Linked DNA regions of Diceros bicornis minor. The main gene of each other region encodes a partner of the protein of the gene in region 2 in a complex. Links are inferred from orthologs where the notes say so. Each region holds a gene or a part of one and is shown on either strand. Other genes may lie near its edges. The genes, in order: CTDP1, GTF2F1, POLR2L and ERCC3.

The links.
Region 1: the proteins of GTF2F1 (region 2) and CTDP1 are in contact, whole or in part, in an NMR structure (PDB 1ONV), measured with the Homo sapiens proteins. The link is inferred for Diceros bicornis minor from reciprocal best matches to the Homo sapiens genes GTF2F1 and CTDP1. Residues at the interface, in NP_002087.2 of Homo sapiens: Thr470, Lys471, Leu474, Gln478, Ser486, Thr489, Val490, Leu493, Ala494, Leu497, Lys498, Leu500, Asn501, Pro502, Arg504, Met511, Phe513; in NP_004706.3 of Homo sapiens: Ala946, Asp947, Met949, Ala950, Lys951, Ala952, Leu953, Glu954, Glu956, Leu957, Asp959, Leu960, Met961.
Region 3: GTF2F1 (region 2) and POLR2L share a complex: the UniProt entries of both Homo sapiens proteins name them as parts of the TBP-based Pol II pre-initiation complex. The link is inferred for Diceros bicornis minor from reciprocal best matches to the Homo sapiens genes GTF2F1 and POLR2L.
Region 4: GTF2F1 (region 2) and ERCC3 share a complex: the UniProt entries of both Homo sapiens proteins name them as parts of the TBP-based Pol II pre-initiation complex. The link is inferred for Diceros bicornis minor from reciprocal best matches to the Homo sapiens genes GTF2F1 and ERCC3.

What each region holds. Positions count from the first base shown.
Region 1 is NC_080755.1:67,832,294-67,840,250, forward strand, and holds the start of CTDP1 (RNA polymerase II subunit A C-terminal domain phosphatase), read left to right. Parts: upstream 1-4,953; 5' UTR 4,954-5,065; coding exon 5,066-5,370; intron 5,371-7,957. UniProt on the Homo sapiens protein: Processively dephosphorylates 'Ser-2' and 'Ser-5' of the heptad repeats YSPTSPS in the C-terminal domain of the largest RNA polymerase II subunit. This promotes the activity of RNA polymerase II.
Region 2 is NW_026691615.1:1,989,658-1,997,091, reverse strand, and holds the start of GTF2F1 (general transcription factor IIF subunit 1), read right to left. Parts: upstream 3,008-7,434; 5' UTR 2,652-3,007; coding exon 2,640-2,651; intron 2,559-2,639; coding exon 2,512-2,558; intron 1,927-2,511; coding exon 1,854-1,926; intron 1-1,853. Other genes in the region: adenylate kinase isoenzyme 1-like, read left to right, coding at 4,347-4,904, 5,520-5,633. UniProt on the Homo sapiens protein: TFIIF is a general transcription initiation factor that binds to RNA polymerase II and helps to recruit it to the initiation complex in collaboration with TFIIB. It promotes transcription elongation.
Region 3 is NC_080770.1:1,179,207-1,185,904, reverse strand, and holds POLR2L (DNA-directed RNA polymerases I, II, and III subunit RPABC5), read right to left. Parts: upstream 2,125-6,698; 5' UTR 2,071-2,124; coding exon 1,976-2,070; intron 789-1,975; coding exon 680-788; 3' UTR 515-679; downstream 1-514. UniProt on the Homo sapiens protein: DNA-dependent RNA polymerase catalyzes the transcription of DNA into RNA using the four ribonucleoside triphosphates as substrates.
Region 4 is NC_080749.1:5,633,428-5,640,960, reverse strand, and holds the start of ERCC3 (general transcription and DNA repair factor IIH helicase subunit XPB), read right to left. Parts: upstream 3,008-7,533; 5' UTR 2,942-3,007; coding exon 2,914-2,941; intron 2,571-2,913; coding exon 2,365-2,570; intron 1,354-2,364; coding exon 1,117-1,353; intron 1-1,116. UniProt on the Homo sapiens protein: ATP-dependent 3'-5' DNA helicase/translocase. Binds dsDNA rather than ssDNA, unzipping it in a translocase rather than classical helicase activity. Component of the general transcription and DNA repair factor IIH (TFIIH) core complex.

The DNA.
Region 1 (7,957 bases), on a different chromosome or scaffold from region 2:
CAAAGAAATCGGATCTCTGCCTCACACCATACACAAAACATCCATTTCTCATTATTTACAGACTTAGCTGTGAAAGACAAACTTCTACAAAGCCCAGGTTAGGGAAGGCATTCCTAAAATTGAGAACTTCTATTTATCAAAAGATCTCATAAAGAAAATGAAAAAGACAAGCCAAAAATGGGTAGACGATGTGGGTAACAGATAATAAAGGCTCTGTATTCAGAAACCATAAGGAACTGCCACAAATCCATAAGACAAAAGCCCAACAGAAAAATGAGTGACGAGCATGAACAGGGATTTCACAGAAAACACAAGGCAAATAAAAAATAGGAAAAGATACTAAGCCAAAATGCCTATTAGGAGAATTCAAAGTAAAACCACAACTTTTAATTTTAACACAGATTTCCACCTAGATTGGCAGAGATTAAGGAGTCTGATAATACCAAATTGTTGAGGATGTGGTGGGAGTATAAACTGAGACAACCATCTTCAAAACTAATTTGGTGTTCATTATCTCATAGATCTGAACATGTGAACATCCTACGACCCACGGTTGCACACTCAGGTCTACACCCTCAGGCATTAACTCCTGTGCCCCAGGAAACACGCAGGATGCTCACTGCAGCACTTCCCATAACACCACAAAGTGAAAACAATTCCAGTCTCCATCTACAAGAAAATGGACAAATACATCCTGCTACATTCATGCAACAGGCTATTACACAAGAGTCACAATAAATAAACTATAATCAAATAAAATAATAAGAACTTGGATACATAGTGATGAACAAAAAAAGCCATTCACAGATAAGAAACATACATACGATGCATTTTTATAAACGTGGAAAACAGGCGTAACTAAACGATAGCTTTGTGTGTACATAGACACACACACAGCAAAACCCCATATAGAATAATGGCAACCAGGAGACTGAAGCTGGCGGCCACGCTGGTGGGGAACTGAGAGGACAAGATGGGATGGTGAGGTAGTTATAACAACACTGGTAATGTTCTAAACTGTAGGTGGGCTGACGGGTTCATTCTAGGATCACAGTCTTTGGTATGTACACAGTTTACGTAGTTTTTAAAGTGGGGAGAGAAGAACACAGGGAGAGAGAGATCCGAGTAAAGCTATGAGACGTGACCACCGGGCAGAGATGTAACTGTAATCCTCACCCATGTCTTTCCCCCATCACTTCTGTTTCACAGAAACATTGCCCCTACTCCCTCAAGGACCAGCTTGCTCTTCACGTATTCCTGGCCCAGCCTGGACCTTCCAACACAGCCCCTCCCTACTGGAAAAGTCAGCCCTTGGTCTCACCTGAACGCTCCACAGTGGTTGACCCACTGACCACTCCCTGCTCGCTGCTCCTCCCCCTTCTCTGCCTATGACATTACTGTAGCCACCTCCCCACAAGAGAAGCTCCCCTCACTTAATGTCATGTACACTGTCCCCCCAGAACCCCCAGGAACCTGCTCACTGGCCCTGCTCTCCCACCAATGGCTGACTTGACTACATGCCCAGGCAACTCAGACATAACAGATTCCAAGGGGACTCATCTCTTCCCAATGTGTCCTGTCTCCCTTTTCACTAACCCATCCAACAAGTAATAAAACCCACTGGTTAACTCAGAAACTCTCCCTGCGACCCTCTCATCTACTGAGATAATCCCAGAACTGGGACATCTACTTCTGGGCTCTCTCTGCCCTTAGCTGCTAGCTTTGACTTAAGCACAGATTGGGTAAGCACATATGTCAGCTCAAAAATTTTTAATGACTACCCGCTGCCTACCAGGGTGGTTCTCAAACCTTGATACACATTAGAAGAACCCAGTGAGCAAAACTCCTGATGCTCCAGCCCCACCCAACACCAATTAAATTAGAATGAGGGATGGAACCGTGGTATCAGTAATTTTTCAAACATCCTAGGCCTGTTCCTCACATTTTTTCCACAAAGGACTCTATTAAGAGAACGCCCAGAACCTCAATCATGATGGATGGTCCTTATGCCTAGAATGCCCATCTCCTCTTCTCCTCATGCCAAGACCCCATCCACTTCTTCTTCCAGGTAGGATGACGTAGGTAGAAACCAGCTATGGCTCCTGCTGCAATAACTTGGGAAAAATAGATAAATGCAAATATCAAGACATCAGATAGGTCTGGAAAGTAACAGGACTGAAAGAAGATTCTAGAGGAAAGAACCATTCCTAGACAAACTTCTTTCTCTCAGTGGCCCTTTCCTTCTCTAAGGCATTTGATGAGTCTGAGCAGTCTGACCTTGAGCTTGACAAAGACGGGGAGACTGGACTAACATGAAGATAACTCCTCTGCTTGGGCTTGCGCGACAGACTGGAAACAGATGAGCCCCAGACACCCGGTGGCTTCCTCACAGGACATTTGCTTACTACTAGGGACACATGCAGGATTGGGGGTATCGCTGGGTTGGCAAAATGGTGTGAAATCTCCTGCAGTTGGAAGTGATTCAATTCCCACTAACAGGAAGGGCCCACAACAGCACACAGGAAGGCTCACTTCTGAGACATCTGAAACCAGGAGTGGACTGAGTCATACCTAAGACTTGAACACAGCCCTGCCCCTAATCAATTCTTGATGGAATGGAGGTGATTGGCCCTTCACCCTGTATGCCTACAGAAGAAAGGCTCAGGCATCCTGTTCCTACGCTTCTTCGGTACAGCGTCTGGCACACTAGTAAAAACAATCCCAACAGCTGCATCCCGTGTTTCTCTAGAAGTCCTGGGGAGAGCACCGGGCCTCATGGGCTAGTGCTGAAGGGAGCGAGCAGAACCAAGGAGTGAGTCCTGAGGATCTCACTGGGCAGCAGCTGGGAGGAGCCAAGAAGGCTCTCTGGAGCATTGCAGATCCGCCTCTTGAGGCTTCTAGACTGTTTGGGGTGACTTTAAGGAGGCGAGGAGCTGGAAAACTTGCAATAGCCAGTGAGCCTGAAAAAATTTGTTCTTTGTGACAGCTAGAGTGACCTGGGCGTGGTGAGAGGGACTGAGCTCCTTTTGTCAGCAAAAGGATTCAGGCAACAGAAAAAAACAAAACGCCAGCACCGCAAACAGGTCAAGATAAGGCCTATACAGCTAATGCGTGGCCTTCTGGCGTCCATTAGGATTGTGAAACACCAACCGCCCCCACGGCAACAATGTGAAAACTGTGTTGCTACTTCCTAGGGAGCAGGGTCCAAGTCACACTACTAGAAGATACATGCTTTCACTCAACAGCGCCAGACTGTGTTAACCCCAGAAAATGATGCTCCTTTGAGTGAGGGTACTTGCTTCCCGGACAACCAGAGGAAAAACCAGCGACAACTCTGTCTTGCTGGGCAGTGTGGCTTCCTTCAACACCCAGCGAGCCTGGACCTGGGCTTTGAAAAAAGCTTCTAGAGAAGGCTGTATGGAGGCTCAGAGGCGGGAGTAAGAAAGCGCTGACGAAGAAAATCCTCTTCGAAGGGTCCGGAGTCCACGAGGCCCCCATAACACCGAGATGAAATCATTTCTGTTTACCTGGTGTAGGTCTACTCCTATTTTCTACTTCCTCTTGAGTCAATTTCCGTATTTTGTCTTTCTAGGAGTTGTTCCCTTCACCGGTTACCTGATTTGTTGGCACACGGTCGCTCATGACGCCCTCGCGCTCCTTTCCACTCCTCTAAGGCCGGTAGTACTACTTCTCCGTCTTGCTATCCTGACTTTAGTCATCTGACGTCCCCTCTTCCTCCATCTAGCTCACGGTTTGTCAAACTTGCTCACGTTTTCAAAGCAGCACCTGCCGGCCTGCAGATTTGCTGTTTTCCGTCGCATCCACTCCTGCCGTGATCGTGACTCCTGCCTCTGCGCCGGGTCGTCCGCCGTTCCTTCCGACGCCGCAGGTCGCCGCGGACGCGCTCCTCGGGGCCCGCACCCGCGCGGCGCAGGCCGGGCGCGCCCGTCTCCCTCCCCCCACGGGCGCTCGCTCGCTCCTCGGCGACCGCGAGCCCTCCTCATCCCGAGCGCCGTCCGAGTGCCGCAAACCGGGATCCGGCGGCTCGCTTCCCGTTTCGCTGACCCGCCCCTCTCCCGCTCCGCGGGAACGGTCACCGGCAGCACACGGCCCGCCCGGAGAAGGCGCGCACACGGAGAGACGGGCGCCCCGGGCCCCCGCGCGTCCTCACTGACCCGCCCCTGAGAGCGCCGCCGTCGAAGCGCCACCCCCCCCCCCCGCCCGGCCGTTTCTCCGCGGCCTCCGGGCTCTGCCGTCGGGGCTCCGTCAGGATGCGCCTGCGCGTGAGGCTCCACAGGGGCCGCCCCGAAGGTGACCTTGAGGGCCCCGGGCGGCCCCGAGGGCACCTCTCCCCTGCGGGCCAAGGCGGGAGGCCGCCCCACGGGGGCACGTCGGCAAGGCGGCGAGGAGGAGGCCAGCGTCGGGGACCCCGAGACACTCGACCGCCGGGGCACATGAGCGACCCGGCGCCCTCCGCCCTCTGACCCTGGACGGCGCGCCGCATGCCGGGACCGCAGCTCCACGACGCCCGCGTTGTATGCCGGGACCAGCCGTCTAACGACACCGAATCTCAGCGCCTGACGAAGCCGTGGGACGGCGGCCCGCATTGCATGCCGGGCCTCGTAGTTCTCACGTCGCCGGGCCTGAGCTCGTGACGGGCGGGGCTGTGGGTCGGCGGCCCGGGTTGCATGCCGGGACCCGTAGTCCCAGGACGCCAGCGACCCTAGGGCAGATGGGGCGTGTGGTGACACTGTTCCTGCCGGGCCCACCCCGCACGGTGGTCCTAGGACGCTTCCGGTACTCGGGCCGGCGCAGCGCCTCTCGCGCCCGCGTGGGCGTGTGTTTACCCGCAGGCCCCTCGGCGTACGCGCACGTACGCGGCGTCACGTGACATCGCACGCCGTCCCGGAAGTCGGCGCGGGCCAGGGCGGCGGGTGGAAGCCGGTGCCGGAGCGGGAATCGCAGCGCCGCCGCCGCCGCTTGGGCCGGGTCGCCCGCCCGCGATGGGCGTCGGGCCCTGAACGCCCGCCCGCCGCCGCGTTTCCTCAGCGACCCGCCGGCCGCGATGGAGGCGCCGCTCGCCGGCCGCCTTCCCGCCGAGGGCGCCGCGCCGGCCGCCGTGGCTGAGGTGCGCTGCCCGGGCCCCGGGCCGCTGCGCCTGCTCGAGTGGAGGGTGGCGGCGGGCGCGGCCGTGCGCCTCGGCTCCGTGCTGGCAGTGTGCGAGGCCGCCGCGTCCGCGCAGCCCGCTGGGCCCGCCCCTGCCCGCGCCGGCGCCGGGGGTTGCGTGCGCGCCGAGCGCCGGTTGAGGTCGGAGCGCGCCGGCGTGGTGCGGGAGCTGTGCGCGCAGCCCGGCCAAGTGGTGGCCCCCGGGTGAGTGGGGCCCGGGGGAGGGGAAGGGAGGGGATGCCGGACCAGGAGAGGGGATGGGGCCGGGGTCTGGAGGGGGTTTCGGGCCAGGAGAGGGGAAGGGAGGGGGCCGGGGTCTGGAGGGGGTCTTGGTCCCGGCACTGGGCGGGAAAGGGTTCCCAGGACTGCAGCTGAAGGGGCTGTGCTCACTGTGCGTTTGCGGGTGTTTCTGAGGCTGGACGACAGTCACTGCTTGTGATTTTATCAAATGCAGGTGTTTGCCTTTAAAAGAATTCTTGAGCCGCCGAAGTTGCACTCTAGGAAACAGTGCGGTCGTTCCTCTTTTTCTGTAGTAGGTGCCTCCCTGTCTCTGAGATGCCGCGTTTGTAAGTTAAGAAAACTCGGGCAGCTCCACGCTTCTCGCGGTGTAAACTGGGGGGGGGGGAGTGCGTTTCTTTAGGTTTGAGTAAATCTTGTGAAGCGCGGTTGTGAAACCTGGCGCAGTTTTGCATCAGAGCTCGGGAAGGGGGTGCAGTCTCCCGCGAGTGGTTCAGGGCGACAGAATAGAAGCACACGCTCCCACCGTAGGGTCTAGCTCTCTGTACGTGCGTTTTAACCTCATAAAGGGCCTTTTTTCTTTTTTTGCAGTGTGTGAATCCGATAGTCTACCTGTCTGAATTTACCGGTGTTGTGCTCTGAGATTTGATTGATGTGTGGGCACAGGTGTGTGCCCGTGGCATGACTGTGGTTGTCATTGTCAGGAGCAGAAAGCCAGGGTAGGTGAGCGTTCCTGCGTGTAGTGATTGGTGCGCAGCTTTCCTCTGCGGAGCCACAGGGTGTCCTGGGTGTTCAGGCCCTTTCTGCCCACGTTGGCCCTCCTCTGGCGCACGGTGCCACTTGCTCTGGTCTTGGCTCCTCTCCCTGTGGCCTGCACTGATCCTCTGGCTGTTGAGCATCTGCCGCCTGCCCTCCACCCCCCAAGAAGCTGATGACCAGGATAGGATGGGAAAGGACTGGTCTTTATCTCAGCCCCAGAATCCTCATCCTGTGTTCCCTTTTCCTAGGTCATTGTTTGGAGACAGAGTCTGGGTCCTCAGCCTTCAGCTCAGGCACCCACGCCTACCCACGGAATGCAGGTGGGGTGGAAGGGGAGCTGCCTCGTGGCACCCTCCACCGGAGCCCCCTGCCTGGCTTCTCGGAAGACAGGGGCTCACTGTGCCGTACATGTGACACTCTGGTATGCTGCTGTTGTTATCTTGGAGTCAGATCTTACCTGACCATCGCTTGCGCCCTAATGAGCCCATAAACCCGTCAGTCCGTAAATTATGGAGGTGAAGCCCAATGCTGTGTGTCGCTGTGTAGAAAACCCTGAAGTGAAAAGCTCTTCTCCGTGTTGTTCTGTTTCTCTGGTGTAGAAGGCTACCAAGGCCCAGACAGGGCAGTGACAGGTCACAGCTGGTGAGAAACACCACATGCATGCTTTGACCCCATCAGCTGGTCTGGCCAATCGCAGGAGCCCAATGCATTGATCTCACCAATCAGCCAGTTCCCAGCTGTGAATAGTCTTTTTCTTTTTGTGTGTTTGGTGTTGAGATCCTGGGGTGTCTCACTGCGGTGGTCTGTCATGGGTTCCTTGAGAGCCTGTTGAGTGGCAGCGTTTCTCCTGGGATGCAGGTGTGAGTGAGTATGAGGAAGGCACCAGCACAGAGCCAGGCTTACCTGGCTGGAGCTGTTGTTGCCATCGTCATCGCTGTCATCAGCAGGATTCATCCTGACCGCATCGGGTTATTCTCTGGCAATGAACAGTTCTAGGAGCTTAGAAATGTTGCATCTGGGTGTAGTGGACATGATCACCCCATTACCGTTGCGACCTGTGGTAAGATTGTATGTGTTTGTAGTGCTTCATGCCATCAGGTAGAGGTAGGAACTATCCTTACTCCACAGACTGAGGAGGGGACTGAGGTCCCAGAGGTTTTGATGTGTGCAGCACCTTACCTTGCTGAGGCCTGCCTCGTTTTCTCCTCCGTGTTGCCCTCTCCTTAGGCCATTCTTCATCCGGAGAGTCTCAGTGGGGGCAAGTAGATAGAATGACGATTTATGTTTTTGTAATATTTGTGTGGGTTAAAATTATCTTGATTTGAAAATATCGTGACAGGGTACCATTTGTCAGAAACCAACTCTGTTAGTTATTAGTTTACCTAATGATGTCCGTCCTTGTTTGCTCTTTTGTCTGTCGTCATTGACTGGGAGATGCTGAAGTCCCCAAAAAAAAGGAAGATACGTAAAATAATCAGGGAATGAGTTACCATCGAGATGGGTAAGGAGGAGGCTGTGGGAGCGTCTTTGTTCTCAGTGGGCGTCTGACCAGCTTTGTCTGTGCCCCGTACCTGGTTTGTCTGCAGGAAGAAAGTCTGCCTCAGCCAGTCTGGGGTGAGCGCCGCCGGAGAGCAGGAAGGAGGATTGCTGGATAACGTGAAGGCCCAGCCGTCGCAGTATTGCTGTCTCCCTTGCTCTGTAGACTGAAGAATAAGGAAAACAACCTGCGATTAGTACCCGGTTTTAGGGTTCTAAAATTAGGTAGTGACGGTTTTTATTAAATTCTAAACACAGT
Region 2 (7,434 bases):
CCTCAAGGTGACTGGTGACACAGGGCACGGCCCCTCCAAGGGGCCAGTGAGTGATGGGAGGATATACTCCCCTGGGTCCTCAGGGATGGTGGGGGCTCTCCTGCTGGATGAGGGGCAAGGGCTGGTATGTTCCCAGGGTATTTATCAAGTTCTTCCTCTTGGTGAAGAGTGTTGGGGGGCAGGGTGCCCCCAATGGGTGGGTTATGTCTCTCGGATGATCAGTGATGGAGAATGTCCCCTCACTGAGTGATCAGGGATTTGGAAACACTGTACCCTCTTTGGACAACGTAGGCCAGGCCAGGGCTTGGGGGAGAGGGTAAAAGTGTGTTAGTTTGTGTATGAACGTGTGTGCAGCTGGCGTGTCCACACTGGCAGGTTGCTATCGCCTCTCACTGGCTCAACTGGATGAGGCAATATTTTTTTTTTCTTGCAGAGGAAGATTCACCCTGAGCTAACATCTGTTTCAACCTTCGTCTATTTTGTATGTGGGTTGCCACCACAGCATGGCTGCTGACAAGTGGTGTAGGTCCACGCCTGGGAACCGAACCTGGGCTGCCAAACTTAACCACTAGGCCACAGGGCTGGCCCCAAGAGGCGATGTTTTAAAATAGTCGAAAGACAGGACTGTGCTCACAAACAAGATGAGCACTAGGAGTCACTCAACTGCGGGAGGGTCCGAAGCCGCCGTCTTCAGACTTCTGGTCAACTCCTCTGCCAAGCAGGTTCAGTCTCTGTGGCTTTAGATGCCACCCCAAATACCCAGATCCTCCACCCCAGTCTCCCAACTCATGTATCCAACTTACTGTCTCCTCCTTGAGGTCTAACGAGCAGCTTGACTATAAGATGTCTAGCACTGAATTCTCAAACACTCCGTCCAAACTGCACTGTCCCCAGGCTCTTCCATTTCAGTAAATGGAATCGTCTGGAATTCTGCTCTGGCCCTCACCCCTCAACATCCAATCCATCAACAAACCCTGTTGGCTCCACTTCCAGAACACGCTGGAATCCAACCACTTCTGACAACCTCCGTTAGCTCCAGGCCCATCATCGCTCACCTGGACCAGAGCCGTCGCCTCCAGCCCTGTTCTCCCTTCATGTGCCCTCGACCCCACGGCAGCCAGATCACTTTACGACTTCCCTGCTTAAAACCCGGCTTCTGCTATAGACTGAATGTTTGTGTCGCCCCAAAATGCACATGTTGAAACCTAACCCCCAATATAATTGTATTGGGGGTGGGGTCTTTGGGAGGTGCTAAGTCCTGAGGGCGGAGCCCTTGTGAATGGGATTAGTGCCCTTATAAGAGGACCCCAGAGAGCTCCCTTGCCCCTTCTGCCATGTGAGGACACAGCAAAAAGGCGCCAGCTATGAACCAAGAAGCACGCCCTCACCAGACACCAAATCTGCTGGCACCTTGATCTGGGACTTCCAGCCTCCAGAACTGCGAGCAATAAATTTCTGTTGTTGACAAGCCACCCAGGCTCTGGTATTCTGTTATAGCAGCATGGACGGACTAAGACAGCTTCCAAAGTCCTTTCTAGAGCCTCTGACAACGGGGCCTCTGAGACCATCTGTAGAATGCAGCCCCCTCTCTTGCCCCGATAAATTTAGGCCAAAAATGCCCCCCAGTGGGCACAACTTCTAAATGTTCTCCTTTGAGGAGAAGGCCTCCTGTGGGGCCCGACAAATCCTACTCCAGGGATGCCCAGCAGCCCAGCCTGGGTCTTAGTCATCATTTTACCTCCACTAAGGGAGAGCTGAGGAAACTAAGCCTTAGTTACTATTACCACGAAGCAACTATTACAACCACCAAGTCCAGGATTGGGTTCTCTCTCGCCCTTAGAACCGGGACTTACCTGGTTCCAAGTCGCGAAGTTGACTTTATCGGCTGCATTGAAGGCCATGATATTATATTTTTTAGTTGTGTTTCTGGAGTGGGCAAGAAGAGGTAGTGCTTAGTCAGTCAATCAATCATTCGTTCAACAAACCCTCCCGGGCTCAGCCTTTTGTGCCAGGCAATGCTGGGGACCCACAAAAGACCCCAGAGGTTCCCAGTCGGTCAGGGAAGCTGGATCCTACTCTCCCAAACCCATGCAGAAGAAGAGCAGAAGGAAGGACAAAGACTCGGGGGCACGCAATATGTGGGGATAATCGGGACCTCTGAGCTGGGGAGGGGGGAGGGCAGGCAGGGAATGCTTCCTGGAGGAGGAGGAAAATACTGGAACTGGGTTTTGTAGGATCCACAAGAATCCCCCCAGTACAGTCACTGTTGGGGAAAACGCATTCCTGGCAGAGGAAATGCTAGGCCACGGGGCTGCATCGTACTGCGTATTAAGCTACTCATTCATTCTTTCATTCCGTTCAAAAACCAGAGAGGCCTCAGCTCCACCCCAGCCCCGCCCTCAGGTCGCGCCGGTCCGGAGGGAGGATCGCAGGCGGTGCCGGGCCGCCTAAAGGCTCAGGCAGGTTTAATCGCTTTTTTGCGGGGACTGGGAGATGTGGTCAAGGACTTACTTGGGAACGCGAACGACATACTCGGTGACATTCTGGCTGCCGGGGCCCTGCGGGGAGAGCAGGCGGGACGGTGAGCGCGGGGCCCCAGAGGCCGCCGCCGGGACCCCCGATCCCCGCCGCGTACTCACGAGGGCCGCCATGGGCGACGGTCTGTGGCTCGGGTCCAGCCCGATCCGGGTCCTTCTGGCCTCCCCCGGGGTCCGCGTCCCTCAGTCCCGGGGAAGCCGCCCGCGCGGTGTCGGCTCTCTGGCCGCGATCGAGGAGCCCGAGCCCGAGAAGCCGCCGATCCTGGGAAAATCTACCCGGAAGCGGAGCCCCGTGGGCCGTCAGCTCCTGCCGCGTCTGCGCCTGCGCCGCCGCCTAACCCGGAAGCGAAACTCTCCCGCGGGCCGCGTCGCGATGGCAACCTCCTCCGCGGTCGTGGACCCCTCGACTCACTGTCATGTATCCCCCCTGTCCCTTTTCAAAACGGTAAGCCCAGGGCGACTCTGAGCTACAGGAAGCGCCTTCTGTCGCTGACCTCTATATATAGCGCCGTCAATCTAATCGCGACGTGTGGGAACGCCTTCCCCGTGACGTCATCACTCAAGGACCGCGGGGCCTCCCGGGACGGGAGGGAGAAACTGGCCCTCCTCGCGGCCTCTCGGGCGCCGTGCGCATGCGCCTCCCCACTCCGGAAGTGAGTCCAAAGAGGCCGCGTCACCATAGCAACTGAGGCCTTCTCTGCTGCTTCGAGCCGCCGCTCCACCACCTGAACCTCTTCGAGGTTCATTTCCTCCCCCTGCCCCGGGGGCCCCCATCATCTCACTAAATGATCGGGCCAGGGGCCCTTGTGACGTTGAGCTGAGCCGGGAGAGGTCAGGGACTGGGTGGGGATGGGGCGCGACCACCCCACGGGCCGCTGGCGGGATGGGTCTTTGCAAGTCCAAGCTGCCCCAGATGGGCAGGTCCCTGAGGCCCCAGGAGAAGGGTAACATCGCGGGGGTGGCTGGCTTACTGCGGGGAAGAGAAGGAGGCTGTGGAGGGCAGGAGGGAGGTCCTGGTACCCCATCCCCCAAGTCCAGATGTGCACACGCTCCCCCTCCCGTCCCCACCGTGGTAGTAACACAACTGCGCATGCTCACGGATCAGCCATTCATTGATCTACTGGAGCGCCTTCTGTGCTAGTTTCTGGGCGCTCCGCGGTGGCTATATCAAACCAGCTTCCTCTCCTCTTGGAGGTTACAGTGTAGTGGAGGAGACAGTCTCAGAAAATGGTATCTACAACCCAGGAGGGAACAGGACTGCCACAGCGAAAGAGCAGCCGGCTCTGAGGGCTCAGGGAAGAGGGGAGGTTTAAGCAGGGCCCTGCGGGATGTACAGGAGTTGGTTAAGCAAAGGGGGCTGGAAGCAAGACACCAGAATTGCACTATAAACTATGGCACTCCATAGACGTGTCTGATAGCCGTGGACATTTATTCCTCACCCACTACTCTATGTCAGGAACTGTGCCAACTACTAGTAATATAGGGAGAAGCGAGACAGAAATAGTCCTTGTCCTCATGGAGTATAGGGTCTGGCTGGGGAGACAAACAACGAGTAAACAGGCAAATCAATACTGATCGTGGCTGTTGCTGTAGAGGAAATGGGGTTCTGAGACAGGGAATCATAGGGTGGGAGGTTCTTTAGAGAGAGCTTAGAAAAGGCCTGATGGGTGAGCTGCGGCCTGAAGGCCCTGGGGCAGGCACTTCTGGGTGCAGGGAACAGCAGGGGAGGGATGAATTGGGCAAGTTCAAGAGACAGAAAGGAGGCCACTGGGACTGGACCGGAGTGAAGGAAAGGGAGGGTCGTATAGGATGAATCGGGAATGGGCAAGTCCCCGCCCCCCTCTGAGCCTCAGTTTCTCAACTGTAAATGGGGTGATAGAGTCACTGCCGTGCTTCAAGGAAATGCTGTGTGCAAAGGGCCCGGCCTGCTCAGGTTCACATCCTTCTCCACAGCAACCTGCAGCAGCACTAATGCACGACATGCCTGGATATACCATTGGGCGTGGATGTGCACCCCCGGATGCCACCTTAGGGCAGAAGTGGGTATACCTGCAGACCTGTGTCCACTGTCACCCAAGGACACGCACTGAGCAGTGCACACAGTCACATCAGCGCCTGCTGGCCCCTACAGGCACCAACCCTTCTCCCTCTTCCCCGGGCTCCGCAGACATCCTCAAGTCTCCCCTGATCGTCTTCGTGATGGGCGGCCCAGGCTGTGGCAAAGGGACGCAGTGTAAGAACATGGCGACCAAGTATGGCTTCTGCCACGTGGGGCTGGGCCAGCTGCTGCGGCAGGAGGCCCAGTGTGGCACCCGGCGGGGCCAGAAGATCCGTGACATCATGCTGCGGGGGCTCCTGGTGCCCACGGTGAGAGCCCAGGGTGCAGGGGCAGAGGCAAGAACCGGGTATGTGGGGACAAACTTCCTGGGAAGGCCCTGTGGGAGCCGTGGCTCCTGGCCTGCCCACTGCTTTGCTGGGCTGAGCCTCGGTGTCCTCAGCTGTCAAATGGGACACCAGATGGACCCACAGCAAAAGTCTGTAGTGGTGAGGGTTGGATCACATCATTCCTATAAAGCACTTGGCAGACTGCCTGGCATTTAAGAAGCGCTCAATAAAATTAGCTAGTATTTATTCCCTTTGTGACTCTGGACATAGATATCATTCCCCTTCTGCACCCCTTTCCTCACTTGTAAAATTAAGTCAACCCAGTGCCTACCTGTCAGGTGGTAGTAATGAATAAATGAGACCAGCAGGCCTGGCACATGCTGGACACCCACCCAGAAGACGGTCGCTGTGCCCAGTTCTCAGAAGCGCTTCCGGAGGCCCCTGGGGATCAGAGCACATTCAGAATCCCGGGTGCTAGGCAGGGCTTGTGTTTCCCCTAACTCACCTGAGGTCCAGACTGAGCAAGAGGACTGGCCGAGGTGACGGCGTAGGCGAGGGCCCCCGGGTGCTGAATCCGGCCACCCCTTTCCTTCCCAGGGTGTCATTCTAGATCTGATCAGCGACAACATGTTGTCCTGCCCGGAGAGCCGGGGCTTCCTCATCGACGGCTTCCCCCGGGAGCTGACGCAGGCCAAGGAGTTCGAGCGCATTGTGAGTGACCCCAAAGTGTGTGAGGAAGCTGTTCCTCCCTCCCCACCGTGGCTGGGGATCAGAAGGGGTGAGACTCAGGAGAGAGGAGATGACAAGAGGGAAATGGAGTTTTCTATTATCAAGGGACAGTCAGGAGATTGTTGGAAGCTTCTAGAACCCGGGGTGAGTGGCTGGTGAGCTGAAGGCAGGGACAAAGTCATTTTAATGTCTTCCTGCACAGTTCCTGGCACCTGGTAGATAAACTGCTCACTGAGAAGCAGGTGGATTTAGCATCATTTCTGGTCCATAAAGATGGAATATAGTTATTCAATCATCTATTTATTCAACCACCTGTCCCCAAATAGTCCTTGAGAACAGACTATGTCCTTGAGAGTTCATGAGACAGACTCAGGCCCTGGTCTTAGGATGCCAATAGACAGGCACCGAGCAATACGTGATGTGCAAAACAAAACAGAAATTTCTGGCAGCGGTTAGCGCAGGGAAGAACGGAAGACAGAATGCCGTCCTGGGGGGACGCGAGTGGGCTGTTTCAGTTTGGATGGTCCATGCGGCCCCCTTGAAGCGGGGACATCGGCCAACTGAGCGATGAAGGAGGAGCCAGCCGGCGCTGGGCAAGTCAGAGTGAATTTCTTCAGGTTATTGTTACACGTCAGCCACGCTGACTTTAGGAAAAGGCCGGTCCGGGCACCCGAACAGCCATGACTGGAGTGTCTGGACATGGCTGAGCAGGAAGAGAGAAACTGGCAGTCTGCAGGCCTCCGGGCTTTTCTGGAAATGGCTGGATTGGAGGGGAAGTGCCTTCAGGGAAGTCCAGGTGCATTGAGGGAGTCAGACAAAGGTCACCGGGGCTGGGGCCCCATGGGTGGGTGGGGCCCTGCCCGTTGTCCCCACTTCCATTGAAGCCATTCTGTCCAGCTCATTGTGATGAAGATAACGGGCTCCCTCTCCTGGTCTGGGACCTCCCAGGGCAAAGGCCGGGCTCGTGGATTTTTCTAGTCCTCGTCCGCCCTGGGCCAGCGCCTGGCCTAAGGTAGGCGCTCTGCAGCGTTGAACACTTTTTTTTTTAAAGTTAGTGGCCAACCTTCAAAAATCGGGAGATGCCACATAAAACTCTCAGCTTCTCTTGAAAACTGCCTGACTTGGCAGCACGGGGCCTGCACGTCCCCATGGCAACAGCAGCGTGAACTCATCCCGAGCTTTTTACCGAGCCCAGTGCTGTTCTCGACACATGGCACGGATGAACTCTGATCTTCCGGAACATTCCAGAAGCACGTGTCTCGCACTGTTAGCACCCCGCTTTTTCAAAGAGGGGTTGGGGAGCTTGCCCAGAGTCACACAGTTTAGGAGGTGGAGGCAGGACTTAGGCCCGGGCGGTCAGGCTGTGAGCCCCCAATTTTAACCATGCCACCGTTCCACTGTGGAGGGGGTATACCCCCTCTGCCTCACCGTGGTCCCCCTACGCCCAGTTCCTCCCTCACAGAGGCCCAGCATCCTCCACCATTTAGGATCTTGCTTGCATTGTGGTTTCATGCTAAGAGGAACAGAACGCATGCTTTCCCCTCGTACCCGTGTGGCTGCCAGAGTGAGAACATGAAAGAAAATGGGGCTCTGTGTTACGAGAGTGGGTTTTCTTTATTTTATTTTATTTTTTTCTGTGAGGAGATCAGCCCTGTGCTAACATCCGCCAATCCTCCTCTTTTTTTTTGCTGAGGAAGACTGGCCCTGGGCTAACATCTGTGCCCATCTTCCTCCACTTTATATGGGACGCCGCCACAGCATGGCTTGCCAAGCAGTGCGTCAG
Region 3 (6,698 bases), on a different chromosome or scaffold from region 2:
CCCGACCTGCTGTGGGGGTCTCAGGGCTGGTTGTTGGAGGCCAGGCCCTGCTCCTCGCCCTCGGCAGGAACTTGGCCAAGGGGAGGGGCCTGCTGGGCTTGGGGGGAACCTGGAAGCTTCTGGCAGCAGGACCCTCAGGATGGACAGCCATGACCACAGTGGGCACTCTATTCAGGGCCCAGAAAATCTGGTTCTTGAGATCCTGGGAGAGAGGATGTGGGGACCTCTGTGCTCTGCCTAAAGGGGGCTCAGAACCTGGGCATGGGGATGCCAGTGTCCCCCCGGCATCTCCCCTACCCCCAGGGTTCCTGGTTGTCTGTGGCTTTGTTGGGCTGTGACAGCACACACCCCAGAGGGAGACCCTCCAGGCTGAGGAGCAGCTGCCATTTGGATGGCTCTCCCGCCTCCTGGGCAGTGAGGGCTGCATTCACCCCCAAGGGGCCTCAGGCATGAGACAGGACACAGAAATGCAGGCGGTGGGAAGTCCCACAAAACCAGGCCAACTGTTAGAACCTCCTTGTGGTTCTGCCAAGACCTTTACTGGATGATTCCTTCCAGAGTGGGAGACGCACGCCCACACAGCTGGGGGCAGGCATTGCTCCTGGTTGCCCACCCCTGGGTGGAATGAACCCTGGGCAAGTGGTCAGCACGGCAGGCGGGCGGGCAGACTCCAGCGCAGTCACTTCTCCAGGGGCGCATAATTGAGCAGCTTCTCGATCAGGTCCACATGGGCCAGCAGCATGCGGCGGCAGCAGTAGCGCTTCAGGCCCAGAGCATCCAGGGCGTCCCTGCCGGCAAGGAGAGAACGGGCTGTGGTCAGTTTGTCCTGGCAGTCCCTGGCAGACAGAGGGCCGTGCACAGGCCATACTCAGTCCCACTCAGCTGCTGTGGGATCTTTCCTCAGCCCCACTCCACTCCAGGGAGCCCCCTCTCTCATTTCCTGAGCCAATTAGAGCTCTCAATTTCCCTGCGACCCAGCCCCAGTCACCCTCAAGGCCTGAATATTTCCACATCATTGCCTCCAACGAGCAGAGATAGTAGTTTGGGAAAGAGGAGGCCAGGCTGGGAGGTCCCTGCCCATGGCATCCCAGGGAAGGGGTCTCATGCAGGCTGCCAGCCATTCCCTAGCACTCTCGTCACTAGCAGCCTCATCAGGGCTTGGCGCTAACACTCAGCCCACCTATGGCTTCCCCGTTCATCCAACATACTTGCACTGAGAGCCTATGGCGTGCTGGCATGCCCCAAGCCCCAGGGGTTCAAATTTGATTAGGACACAGGGCTGTCCACACAGGGCCCAAAGTTTAGCCTCTAGTAGGGAAGAGAGACTAGAATAGGCATGGTGGTAACTGTAGTGCTAAAGGGCAAGCACAGAAAAGGGACCCACAACAGCCTGATGAGGACGGCTGTGTGGTCACAAAGCTTATCCTCCGTCCTAAAAGGAAAGTGGGTTTGCCGGGTACAGATGTGGACCTAATGACAAAGAAACAAGATTAGGAAGCAAGCACAGGGAGAGGAGGCTGAGAGTTTTAACTGTGGTAGAGAGGCACGGTAACCCGCCAGCATACCTAGGTGTCCCCAAGACACCAGTTGCTTGATGCCCAACACCCCACCTCTCCCCAAGCTGGCGGGCAGTGGGAGGCAACGCTGTCCTGAGGGAAGGTCAGGCTGGAAGGTACCTCGGAACTGCAGCATCACCTGGCATCTGATGAGTGCCTCTGCCCACCTCGCACGCCGGGACCCTCCCAACTCCCCGCTCGCAGCCTGGGACCCCCCACCCCCGTCCCTTTCCCACAGGCCGGGATCCCCCACCCCTATCCCCGTCCCGCAGGCCGGGACTCCCTACCCCTATTCCCGTTCCGCAGGCCGGGACCCCCCACCCCGACCCCGTCCTGCAGGCCCGGACCCCGCTACCCCGTCCGCAGCCCGCAGGCCGACGGTCCGGCAGCCTCCCCTCCCGCGCCGGCCCGCGCCTCACCCCTCGGTGTACTCGGCCTGCAGCAGCCCCAGGTAGGCCTCCCACTTGTTGCCGACGATCTTGCCGCACGTAAAACAGCGCACAGGGATGATCATGGCTGTGGAACAGAAGAGCACAACCGTACCGCCCGGCGACGCTTCTGCGTGTGGCGCCGGGCCCGCCGCGGGCGCACTTATAGAGCAGGCGGTGACCGCCCCGCCCCGGGCGCGCCTATAGAGCGGGGGGTGACCGCCCAGTCCCCGGCCGCCGCCAGCCAGCCCTGCCCGCCCCTGGCGCCGCCGGCGTCCGTCTCCCGCCGCCACGAGTTCCCTCCGCGCGGGTCGGAGGTCACGGGCCCCGCGCGGCAGCGGCAGGAACAGGAGGCACCACCCCGTCCGCTGCTTTAGTACGTCCCGGCCTACGGCGGCCGCGCGGGGCCTTAAAGGGTTGTCGTCGGCGGTTCGCGTTTCTCGTGTCCGCATGACTGACAGCTGCGCGGCGGGCAGACGGCGCGCTCAGGTACTGCGCTGGTCTGGAAGATGTGGCCGGGGTCCTGCCGCCGCAGCGGGACCGGGACCGGGACCGGGACCGGGACCGGGCCCAGGACCAGGAGCGGGCCCAGAGCCGAGCCGGCGCGGAGTTCGTGCCCCAGCGCGGAGCCCCGAGCCGAGCCGCAGCAACAAGTGGCGGGGCCGGGGCCGGGGTCGCGGAGACGCGCTGCGGGGCGGAAAGGGGCTGACCGGCCAGCGAGGCCGGTGGGAGCGGGCGACCACGGGCAGGTCTTCCCGCTGCCCCTCCCGCCCGGCCCGGACGAGGGTCTTCCTGCTTGCAGCCTCTTCCTGCGAGTGCCTGGGGGGTCTCTGCAGCTGATTTGGGGATCCCATTCCCAGCCGCGGCCTGGCCCCTCGGGGCACCGCCCAGCCTACTCCCCCGCATAGTATCGGTCCCAGCCGGGTAGTTACCTGCAGCCCCGACGGCTGAGGGCGCGCTGGGAGCAATCGGGCCGGTGCCGGGCTGGGCCGGCGGCTCCTCTCTTCTTCCCAGGGAAGGGGCTGGGAGGGGGTGTGGGATGAGTCTGCACCTGTCCCAGGCCAGGCTGCGCTGGATCGCCCGCGATCTGAGGGCATCGGACTTCTGAGGACCCCGAGGGGAGCAGAGGCTAGGGAAGGTGGTCAGGGAGAGTGTGTTCGAAGAAGTACCCCTGAGCTGAACCTTGAAGAACACAGGATTTCCCCAGGGGCGAGCCTGAGTGTGTGAGAGAGCAGGACAGATCCGGGCAAAGGGAACCCTCGGGCAGAGACCTGGAGGCTGTACCTGCAGAGCAGCTCAAGGAGACAGGTTTGCACTAGGGCAGAGGAGGTGGTGGAGCTCGAGGTCATGGGGCAGGAACCATGGAGGATTTAAAGGGATGGGAGGCTGTGTCTCTGAAAATGGGGTGGGTTGAGCGGGTGATCCCGGGGCTGGGGTCTGCAGGGAGGGCAGTGTGTAGTGAGAGGCAGGGAAACCTCCCTGGAGGAGGTGAGCTTTGGGCAGTAGGGGGTGGATGTGTTACAAAGTGGCGCCTATGACTTACTTGCGTGTGCAGGCTCTGGGCATGTTCACTGGCCTGGGGTGTCTGGATCTCTGATTGGGATGGGGCCAGCGTTGGGTCCCAGGCATCAGCTAACTGCCCTCTCAGGGTGGATGATGGACTCTGGCCTCAGTTGGGGAGCAGGGAGATGGAGGGTCCTCTGGGTCCTGGGTGGGGCTGGCCAGAGCTGCTGCCTGCCTGGAATTTGTGTCCCCACCTTCACCTGGGCTCTGGACAGCTTCCCCAGTGGCGTTTGCCATCCCCCACCCTGCCACGTGCAGAGCCACGAGCTGAGGCCACTTCCCTTCCCTGCCCTCCCCCAGGCTGACTGGACGCACATCCTGTCCCCGACCAGAGGAGCAAGACGGGGGCCTTGAGTCACAGTGGCCTGGAGTCGGACTCGGGCTCAGCTGCAGAGGCTACCGGTGGCTGTGGAGGTGAGGGAGACAGGGGAGGGGCTCCGGGATGTCCGCTGGGTGGACATTCAGGAGCTAGGGGGGGATGGAAGGCTTCCTGGAGGAGGGGCCCAGGGCCTGCCCCACCCTTGCTCCAGCCCTGACTCGTGAGCAGTTGTTTACTCCGAGAGAGTGAGGGGAATGAGCCTCCCGCCCTGATGCTGGCCAGAGCCAAGTTGACATTCCTGGAATTCTGAGCGCTGCGTGTGGATTTGGGGGTGGTGGCCGGCTTCCTCTTCCTGAGCTCCTCCTCCAGCTCCCTGAGTTCCCAGGAGAGGCCATGGGGAGCAGCGTGGCTGCCGCTGTCCCAGCCTGTGCACGTACTCCCAACACCCGTGTGCACGGAGGCTCCTTGGGGCCCTTGATCCTCCCGTCTTGACTCTGCTGTGGCTCAGGCTGGACCAGAGGACCCTGGGGGAGCCTCAGAGGTCAGCCCTGCCTTGCTGCCGGGGCCTGGGTGGTCGTATGTCTGTGTGTGTGTGTGTGCACACGCTCTGGGAGGAGCAGGCTGGGGTGTGGGCCGGGCTCTCTTCAGGGTGGGCAGGGGCAGGAGGTGGTGGGCTGGGGGTGGGGCCGTGTCTGCTGCAAGGGTAGGTGGGGGCCCTAGCTTCTCCCCTGGGTGTGTGTGGAGCCTAGGCCTCTGGGGAGGGCCGGAGATGGGGACGGGAGAGCGGGGCGCGGTTTCTGAGAGTGGACTGTCCCGCCCCGGTGGTGGGGGCTCGAGGAAGGAGGGCCATGCTAATGTGTGGTTTGGAACCCCTGAGCCTCATTTCCTGCCGGAGGGGGTCACTTCAGGGCAGACCGGACAAGGGGAAATCAGCGATTGGAGTTTGAGCTGCTGAGACCCTCCAGCCCTGAGGGTTGCCCTGGAAACAGGCTGGCCACAGGGGTGACCCAGCCTGGGAGAGGGCTCACCCTGCCCCCTGGTCCTAGGTCACAGCCTCAGTTTCCTGGTCTGTAAAGTGTGGGTGGAACCAGAAGCTGCCCAGCGGGAGGGTCCCAATCCTGGCTGTGCAGGCGTGCGGTCCCAGGCTCGGCCCCTGGCCCTGCTTGCTTGGTAGATGTGGGCTCACACAGGGGGCGTGCGGGGTCGGGTGGGGTGAGCATACAGGCTCAGACGCCTCCCCAGGGTCGGGCGAGGTCACTGCCTGCCACACCAGTACTTAACGCTCTGGGCTCTGGGGAATGTGGAGTCGTGAGTGGTGGCATTTGCAGATGTGCTTGAGGCCAAAATGGCCCTAACCTACTGACCCTCCGGACATCCCTGAGGGTACTGCTCTATAGGGATCTCTGTGGCACGGGGCCGGGTGGGCACGTCTGTGCAAGGTAGGTGGGCACACACTGGGCACCTGAGGCAGGGTGCTCCCAGGGCCTGTGGTGGGTGGGAAGGCTCCCCCCACTCCCAGGTCCTAATTGTGTCTCCTCCACCCCCTCCTCCACGTGGCCTCTAGCAGAGAAATACCTGAGGGTGGGAGGATGAGAGGGGGGTGAGGAGGCAAGGCTTTGAGCTTGGGGTTGGCCTCGGTGGGCCCAGGAGGAGAGACTGGGGGCCTCTGGGTGGCGTCTCTCACGGGGACCCCTCCCCTAGGGACCCCTCCACTGGAGCGAGTGTCTCCCAGCCCGGGAGGCTGTGGATTGGGTGTGGGGAGAGGGCCCTGCCCAGGCTCTGTGTGTGGAGGGGGTACCAGCCTGCCTTTCCCCCAGGGTCGGGGCCTGGGTGGGCATTGGGGCCTGGCAGGCAGCAGGAAGGCGGACACCACAGGCCTGTTTGTGTTGGCGGGGCCCTGGCTCCTCAAAGCCGCCTCAGAGCCGGCTCGGCCTGGGGGCCCGGGGTGGGCGGGCTCCGCTCTGCTCTCCACCCTGAGCTGCCCCCACTGTATGTGTGCTCCTGGGCCAGGCCCCTGCTGCTGCTCGCGGCTGAGGCTCTGGGTGGGTCATGCCACTGGCAGCCACCCATCAGCTCCAGGCCTCCAAGTCCTCCAAGTCCGCGTGGGCAAGCGCTCTTTCAGCTTTTGGGGAGGTTTCTATTTGAATGGGACCTTGGTCTAGCCAGGTAGGTGTGGCTCACGGTCCCTCGGGGCCCCCCACCTGCCCCCACCCAGGGGCCATGGAGAGTCCAGAGGCCCAGCTCAGGGCGGGCAGGCTGTGGGGGTGTTTGTCTTGGGGCTCTCGCTCAGCCCCATCCCTGCTCCCTGCTACGTGTGCCGTTCTGGGGGGCGACGACGTGTTGGTCTCTGCTCTCGAAGGAAGCCTAGAGCGTTGAGTGGGGCAGGGAGGTGTCCTGGAGGAGGAGGCTGGGCCTGGGGAGGGAGGGAGCCAGCCCTGGGCCTGTCCAGCCCCTGCACCCGTGCCCTGACTGCAGTGTTGCATTGGGCCGCATAGGATGGGGGTCGGGGCCCTTCGTGAAGGGGCATTGTGGAGGCCAGAAGGGCTGCAGCTCATTCACAGAGGGTCCAGGGGCTGCCTTGCGCTCGGGGCTGGGAGTGTGGCCAGGCAGTGGTCTCGTCCACACTCAGCTTGGTGTTGGCCATGGGTCTTCCTCATATGTGAGGACCCAGGAGTGTTGGGGGGCCATGAGAGGTGCTGGTGGTCTGCCCTTTAGGGCCTGCCTAGGAGGCCCATCTCCCGATGCCCAGGTCTGGGGGTAACAGGGCATGCAGACCCAGCCTCAGGCCTGTGTGATGCTGGGTGTGATGCGTGCTTTTTGGCTTCTGGCATG
Region 4 (7,533 bases), on a different chromosome or scaffold from region 2:
AGCACTGCACCAACACCTACATTCCTGTAGGCAGCTCCCAGCCAAGACTGAGCACAACCAGGGTGCTGATGTAGGCTCATTCCAGTGAGGTGCAGGCCCTTCTCCCTGGGCACCCTTCCACACACAAGAAGAGAAAACTCTCTCCAGGGCTCCTGCCAGCTTCTCTGAGATTGGATACATTACTGTGCTGGATGCCTATGGCACTCATCTTCTGCCACTCCAGATTTAGGGGTCTGAATCCAACTCCCTTTAGACCAGCAGAGGGCACCAAAAGCCACCGTCCATCTCTTCTAAATGGCATTCACGTATCTCTCAGAACAAACCCAAGCATGTTCAAGGTGCTCTTCACATGGAACCCTACCCACTTCAACATCTGAAGTTCTTTTTGACTTTCCCTAATGGAAATTGTGACCATTGGTGCAGGTATTCAGCCTTAGATGGAGTTTACCACCTGTATTAGTCTGCTTGGGCTACCATACAGAACACCACAGATTGGGTGGTTTAACAACAGAAACTTATTTCTAGAAGTCCACGATCAAGAAGCCAGGGATTCAGTTTCTAGTGAAGGCTCTCTTCCTGGCTTGCAGAGGGCTACCTTCTTGCTGTGTGCTCACATGACCTCTTCTTGTGCATGTGCAAAGAAAGAAAGAGAGCACATGAGTCTTCTGGTGTCTCCTCTGATAAGGACACTAATCCTATCGGATCAGGGCCCTACTCTCATGACTTCACTTAACCATAACTACTTCCTTACTCCAAATACAATCACATTAGGGGTTAGGGCTTCAATATGAATTTTGGAGGGGATACAATTCAGTCCATAACATCATTCACTTTGCACTGCATTCCCAAATAACCCTGGCCAGAATGGGCCTAAATTACTACCCCCACTGTGTTAGTACCCACTGGCTAACAGCAGCTCATGGTAAGTGTGGCCTCAGCAAGAACACAATGCTGGATCCAGAGAAGCAGCAGCTAGGGTAATCAGTTTTTATGCTCCCCACACTAGCTCTGAATGGCATTTTCATGACCGCCACAGGTTAACAAAATGTAGCACCTGTCTCCACTATTACCACATTGACAAGTAGGGCAAAAGAGCCAGCCTCAGCCTCCACTTGCCTTAATAAACTGAATAATCCCATCAGGTACTCCCGTCTTGCTGAGCTTCCTGAGGTACTCAGTGATGTCACTGGTCTGCAGCCCAACGCTGACAGCTGCATACAGGGAGTAGGCAGTTAGTTTGTACTCATGTACATGGGTTGGTCGGCACACTGGCTCTGCAATAGCCACCAGGAAGTCTTGAGCATATTTGTAAACTGGAGAGAAGGCTTCTAAGAAGATGTGGCCATCAGGAGCCTGAGAAACACCAAACCGTCACAACAGACAAGGAAACTAATGAGTTGCAGAGATTATTAGACTCTTTCTCTTATCATTATCTAGAAGAGATAAGCTGCCCCAAAAGTGATCTTTAAGTGTTTCAACACCAGGGATATTTTTGTAAGCACTCCTTCAGTCAACTGGGGGGCCTGTTACTTAATCAGATACAAAGAACAGAGAGGAAAAGAAGTAAAGGTTTTCAAAGTCAGTAGCTGCTTCCCACTATTCTTCACAGGGAAAGCCTACCTTACTGGCTCTCCTCAAGTTCCCTTTGGGCTAGACTTCAAATAAAATGTAGAACATTAATGACTTCAAGTTGAGCAAAAAGTTGCCTACCAAATATATACATATATATGTCTCCCATTAATTTTTAAAAATGGGGAACTTGGGGCTGGCCCCATGGCTTAGTGGTTAAGCGCACACGCTCCGCTATTGGCAGCCCGGGGTTCAGATCCCAGGCGTGCACCAACGCACCACTTGTTCAGCCATGCTGAGGCCGCGTCCCACATACAGCAACTAAAAGGACGTGCAACTATGACATACAACTATCTACTGGGGCTTTGGGGAAAAAAAAGGAGGAGGATTGGCAATAGATGTTAGCTCAGAGCCGGTCTTCCTCAGCAAAAAGAGGAGGATTAGCATGGATGTTAGCTCAGGGCTGATCTTCCTCACCAAAAAAAATAAAAATAAAAAATAAATAAAAACGAGGAACTAAAATGTTACATAATAAATGCCATTTATTTGGTAGATAAAAGTATTTCCAAATATGCAGTAGAACTATCGAGGGAAGGGGAGTAAAAGGAGGGGTTAGAGATGAAGGAAGCCCACGTCTAGCCGGCCCATGTGTGCATCCCTCCTGCTTATTCCCATCTCGGGCTGTTCAAACTGTGTAGGAAAGCTCTCTTCCAGCCAGTCCTTAAGAGCACTACCCTGCATTTCCACTTTGGCCCCACAGACTCTGGGGCCCTGCCTGGCTGAGAGCATGCTTACCACCCAGAGGGGCCTGGAGCTGTGGTCGTCCTTCAGCGGCATCTGCAGCCTGTAGTCCTTGGCCCCATACTCATCCACTTTGGTGCCGGACTCATCTACCTGCTTCCCGGCCGCCGAGGGCACCGCCTCCTGAGAGTCGTTCCCGGGGGCGTCGTCTTCATCTTCTTCCTCGTCCTCATAGTGCCGCTTCTTGGACTTCTTCTTATCTGCAGATGCGGACACAGAAGTGAGCCGGGCAGGAGAAGCCCAGGGTCCCCTCCGCACCGCCCAGCTGCATTCCGGGGGAACCTGACCGCAGCCGTCTGCCACCAGCGCCACGCACTCCCAGAGGGGTCCACCTGCAGCCGGGGCGACTCTCCCTCAAACCTTCCCACCCGGCAGGACGCGGGGCTGCCCAAAGACCCAAGCTCGCCCCCGCCCAGCGGCCCGTCGGGACACGGGTGTGCAGGCCGAGGGGCGGCGGGGTCGAGCAGCGCGGGGCAGCTACGACACAGGACGACGGAGACGGCAAGTGCAGGTAGGCCCAGGCACGCCCCCGCCGCGTCTCACCGCGCTCCGCCCGGTCTCTTTTGCCCATGGCGGCTACAGCCCCAGTCCACCACCGCCGCCGGCCCGCCGCGGCTACAGGTCCCAGGGAGACTTCCGGTTCACACAGGAAGCTCTTTCGGCAACCACACAGGAAGTCCCGCCTCTGGGTGCCGGGTCGCCGGGCAGGCGACGGCGCGTGGCGGCCGAGCAGCGTGTGTGGTGTGACCCTGGCGGAGGCTCCTTTCTCCCCATTCTTTGCTGTAGTCAGTCAATGAAATATTTGTTGAGCACCTGTTGTGATCGTCCAGGCACTGTTTTAGCCGCTGGGGTAGGACAGTGAACAATGTCAAGCCCTTGGCCTCCTGGCGCTTAAGTTCTAGTAGAGAGGTGTGGGCAGTAAACAAATACGGTGCTAAGAGCTCTAAAGAGAAATAAAACGGCCCGCAGTGACAGGTAGTGTCATTCTAAATGGAGTGGTCCCGGAAAACCTCTGAAGTGGTGTTATTTCAGCAAAAGATCTGAAGAAAGTGAGACAGTGTCCTATGTAAGTACCAGGGAGGAGCAGTGCGGGCACAGGTGTGAGGCCGACACAGGGTTGGCGTCGTCGAAGAGGAGGCTGAGAGGGAGCAGTATGGCTGGGAGACGTAGGGGAGAGGACATAGTACAGTACATGTAGTGTAGTGGTTCTTCAAATGGGGTCCCCTGGCTGCATCAACATCATATGGAAACTGGTGATAACTAATTAGAAAGGCGCAAATACAAAGTATCTGGCCCCATCCCAGACCTATTGAATCATGAAATTCTGCAGGTGGGCCCAACAGTCTGGCCCTCCAGAAGATTCTGATGCTTACGTTTGAGAACCACTGATGTAGAGCTTTGTAGGCCATTGCAAAAACTTTGGATTTTATTTTGAAATGGGAAACCACTGGAGAGTTTTGAGCAGAGAAGTGACAATCTGATTTAGTATTAAAGGATCACTCTACACTGGCTGCTATGTTGAAGATAGACTTTATAAGGTCAAGGGCAGCTAATGCTGCCCTCCAGTTGAGAAATTGTTGGCTTTACCAGGGTGGTAGGGATAAAGGTGATGAAGGGTGATTCCGTTCTGAATATATTTTGAAGTTAGAGCAGCATTTGCTGACTGACTGGATATGGAAAGTGAGGGAGAGGACTAACGGAGAACTCCAAGGTTTTTGGTCTGAGCAACTGCAAAAATGGTGTACCTTAGGGAAGGTTCAGATTGAAAGGTGTTTTGGACATTTTGAATGTGAGTGGCTATATTAGTTGGCTGGAGTGCTGTAACAGACTGTGTGACTTAAACAACAGAAATTTATTTTCTCACAGCTCACAGTTCTCACAGCCAGGAGGCTGGAAGTCCAAGATGAAGATCTTTCTCTCTTCCTGGCTTCAGTTGGCCACCCTCTTGCCTTCTCACTATGTCCTCACATGGGAGTTAAAAGAAAGGCAAGCTCTCTGGTGTCTCTTCCTCTTCACATGAGGGCACCAGCTTTGTCAGATTAGGGCTCCACCCTTATGATCTCATTTAACCTTTATCACCTCACAGGCTCTGTCTCCAAATACAGTCACGTCGGGGGTTAGAGCTTTAACATGAATTTTGGGGAGGATGCAATTCAGTCCATAGAAGTGGCCTATTAGACAATTAAATGAAGTGTCAAGAATGCAGTTGGATGTAAGTCTAAAGTTCAGGGACCTAGAAATATAAGTTTGGGAATTGTCAACCTATTGGTGGTACTGAAGCTATAGAACTGATTGAGGTTACCTAGGGAATGAATGTAGTTAAAGCAAAGGTCTGGAACATTTCACAGTGAAGAGGCTGGAAGATGAAGGAGAACTGGGCAACACCAGTTGAGGAGCAGTCAGTGGGAGAGGAAAATCAGGAGTCCTGGAAGTCCTGCTTTTATTTCATTTCATTTTAAGGTGGAGGAAGTGATCGGCTATATTAGATGCTGCTGATCAGCTGAGCAAATTGAAGACTGAGACCCAGCCACAGGATTGGCAATGTAGAGATCACTTCTCAGCTTAATGACCTTCAGTAAATTGAAGGTTTGTTGGTCTCTGCCCTAAATGAATTTCACTTACTCAAGAAGTGGAGGAGCCACACCTTTTTTTTTTTTTTTTTTGTGAGGAAGATCAGCCCTGAGCTAACATCCGATGCCAATCCTCCTCTTTACGCTGAGGAAGGCTGGCCCTGGGCTAACATCCGTGCCCATCTTCCTCCACTTTATGTGGGACGCCACCACAGCATGGCTTCACAAGCAGTGCGTCGGTGCGCGCCCGGGATCCGAACCTGCAAACCCCGAGCCACCAAAGCGGAGCGCGTGCACCTAACAGCTGCGCCACCGGGCTGGCCCCAGAACCACACCTGTAAAACTGGTTTTTGCATTTTTATATTTTCCCTCTGATTTAAGTAATACATGCCATGTAAAAATCTTGGAAAGCAGAGAAAAGCATAGCAAAGGCTATTTAAATCATGGATAACACTATCCCTAGCTATCTACATTTTGGGTTATTTTCTTCCAGGCTTTTTTTCTGTGAGTTGCTCTTTTTACACCATGAAGATGTTATTTGAACATATAATTTTATATCCTTCTAACATAAGCTTTATCCACCCCTCATTAAAATGAATGTTTAATGAGTACTTAATTTTCCATTGTATGGCAGTATTATAATTTATTTAGTCAAACCCTAATTTTGGGGCATTGGGATAGTTCCAGTTTATCCTATTATACATAGCCCTGTGATGAATATCATTGGATATAAGTCTTTAACTGCATCTGGGATTGTTTTTTTAAGGCAAATTCTGAGAAATAGAAATAGTGGATTAAACATATGGCCTTTTTTTTTAAAGCTCTTTCTGCCAAACCTGGTTAATTTTACTGAAGATGATGAGGAAGAATGGCTAATCTAACATTAAGAAAATATTTTGTGTGAGACAGCAAGATGGAAGAAAGGAACAAAAGTACTACAAAACTATGTGAAATCAATTAGCAAAAAGCAATAGTAAGTTCTTATTTATCAATAATTACTTTAAATGTAGATGGGTCAAAGGGTAAAAACTTTCTGTTATAAGAAGAATAAGTTCTAAAGATCTAATGTACAGCGTGGTGACTGTAGTTAATAATGTATTGTATACTTGAAATTTGCTGAGAGTAGATCTTAAGAGTTAGCACCACACACACACACACAGACACACGCACACACAATGAATTAGCTATGTGAGGTGATGGATGTGTTAATTAACTTGATTGTAGTAATTATTTCACAGTGTATGCATATATCAAATCATCACATTGTACACCTAAATATATATAATTTTAGGTGTCAATTATTCCTTAATAAATCTGGAAAAATAAGAAAATAAAAACAAAAAAATATTTTGTGAACTAATATTTGACAAGAAAATTCAATGGGGAAAGGATAGTCTCTTCAATAAATAGTGTTGGAAAAACTGGATAACCACATGCAGAAAATGAAATTGGACCCCTAAATAACACCACTCACAAAAGTTAACTCAAAATGGGTTAAAGACTTAAATATAATACCTGAAACTATATAACTCATAGGAAAAAAAAACAGAGAAAGAACTCCTTGACATTGGTTTTGGCAATGATTCTTTAGATATAACACCAAAAGCACAAGCAACAAAGGCAAAAATAAATAAGTGGGACTACAACAAACTAGAAAGCTTCTGTACAGCAAAAGGAACAATCAACAAAATGAAAAGGCAACCTATGGAATGGGAAAAAATATTTGCAAACCATATATCTGATAAGGGGTTCATATCCAAATTATGTAAAGACGGTATACAACTCAATACAAAAAAAACAAACAATCCAATATAAAAATGGGCAGAGGAACTGAACAGACATTTTTCCAAAGAAGACATACAAATAGTCAACAGGTACATGAAAGGACACAACATCACAAATCATCAGGGAAATGCAAATGAAAACCACAATGAGATATCACCTCACATTTGTTAGAATGGCTACCATCAAAAAGACAAGAGATAGCAAATGTTGGCAAGGATGTGGAGAAAAGAGGACCCTGGTGCACTGCTGGTGGGAGTGTAAATTGGTACAGCCACTATGGAAAACAGCATGGAGGTTCCTCAAAAAATTAAAAATAGAACTATTGTATGATCCAGCAATACCACTTGTGGATATATATTCAAAGGAAATGAAAACAGGATCTCGAAAAGATATCTGCACTCTCATGTTTATTGCAGCATTATTCACTATAGTCAAGATATGGAAACAACCTAAGTGTCTGTCAAGGAATGAATGGATAAAGATATGGTATATATATATACAATGGAATATTATTCAGCCATGAAAAATAAGGAAATCCTGCCATTTGCGACAATATGGATGGACTTTGAGGGCATTATGCTAAGTGAAATAGGTCAAACAGAGAAAGACAAATACTGTATGTATATGTAAAATCTAAAAAAATCTGGACTTATGAAAACATAGAGTAGAGTGGTAGTTACTAGGGGCTAGGGGGTGGCGGGGAATGGGGAGATGTTGGTCAAAGAGTAAAATGTTCAGTTAGCAGATGATTAAGTTCTGGGGATCTAACATACAGGATGGTGATTACAGTTAATATACTGTATTATAT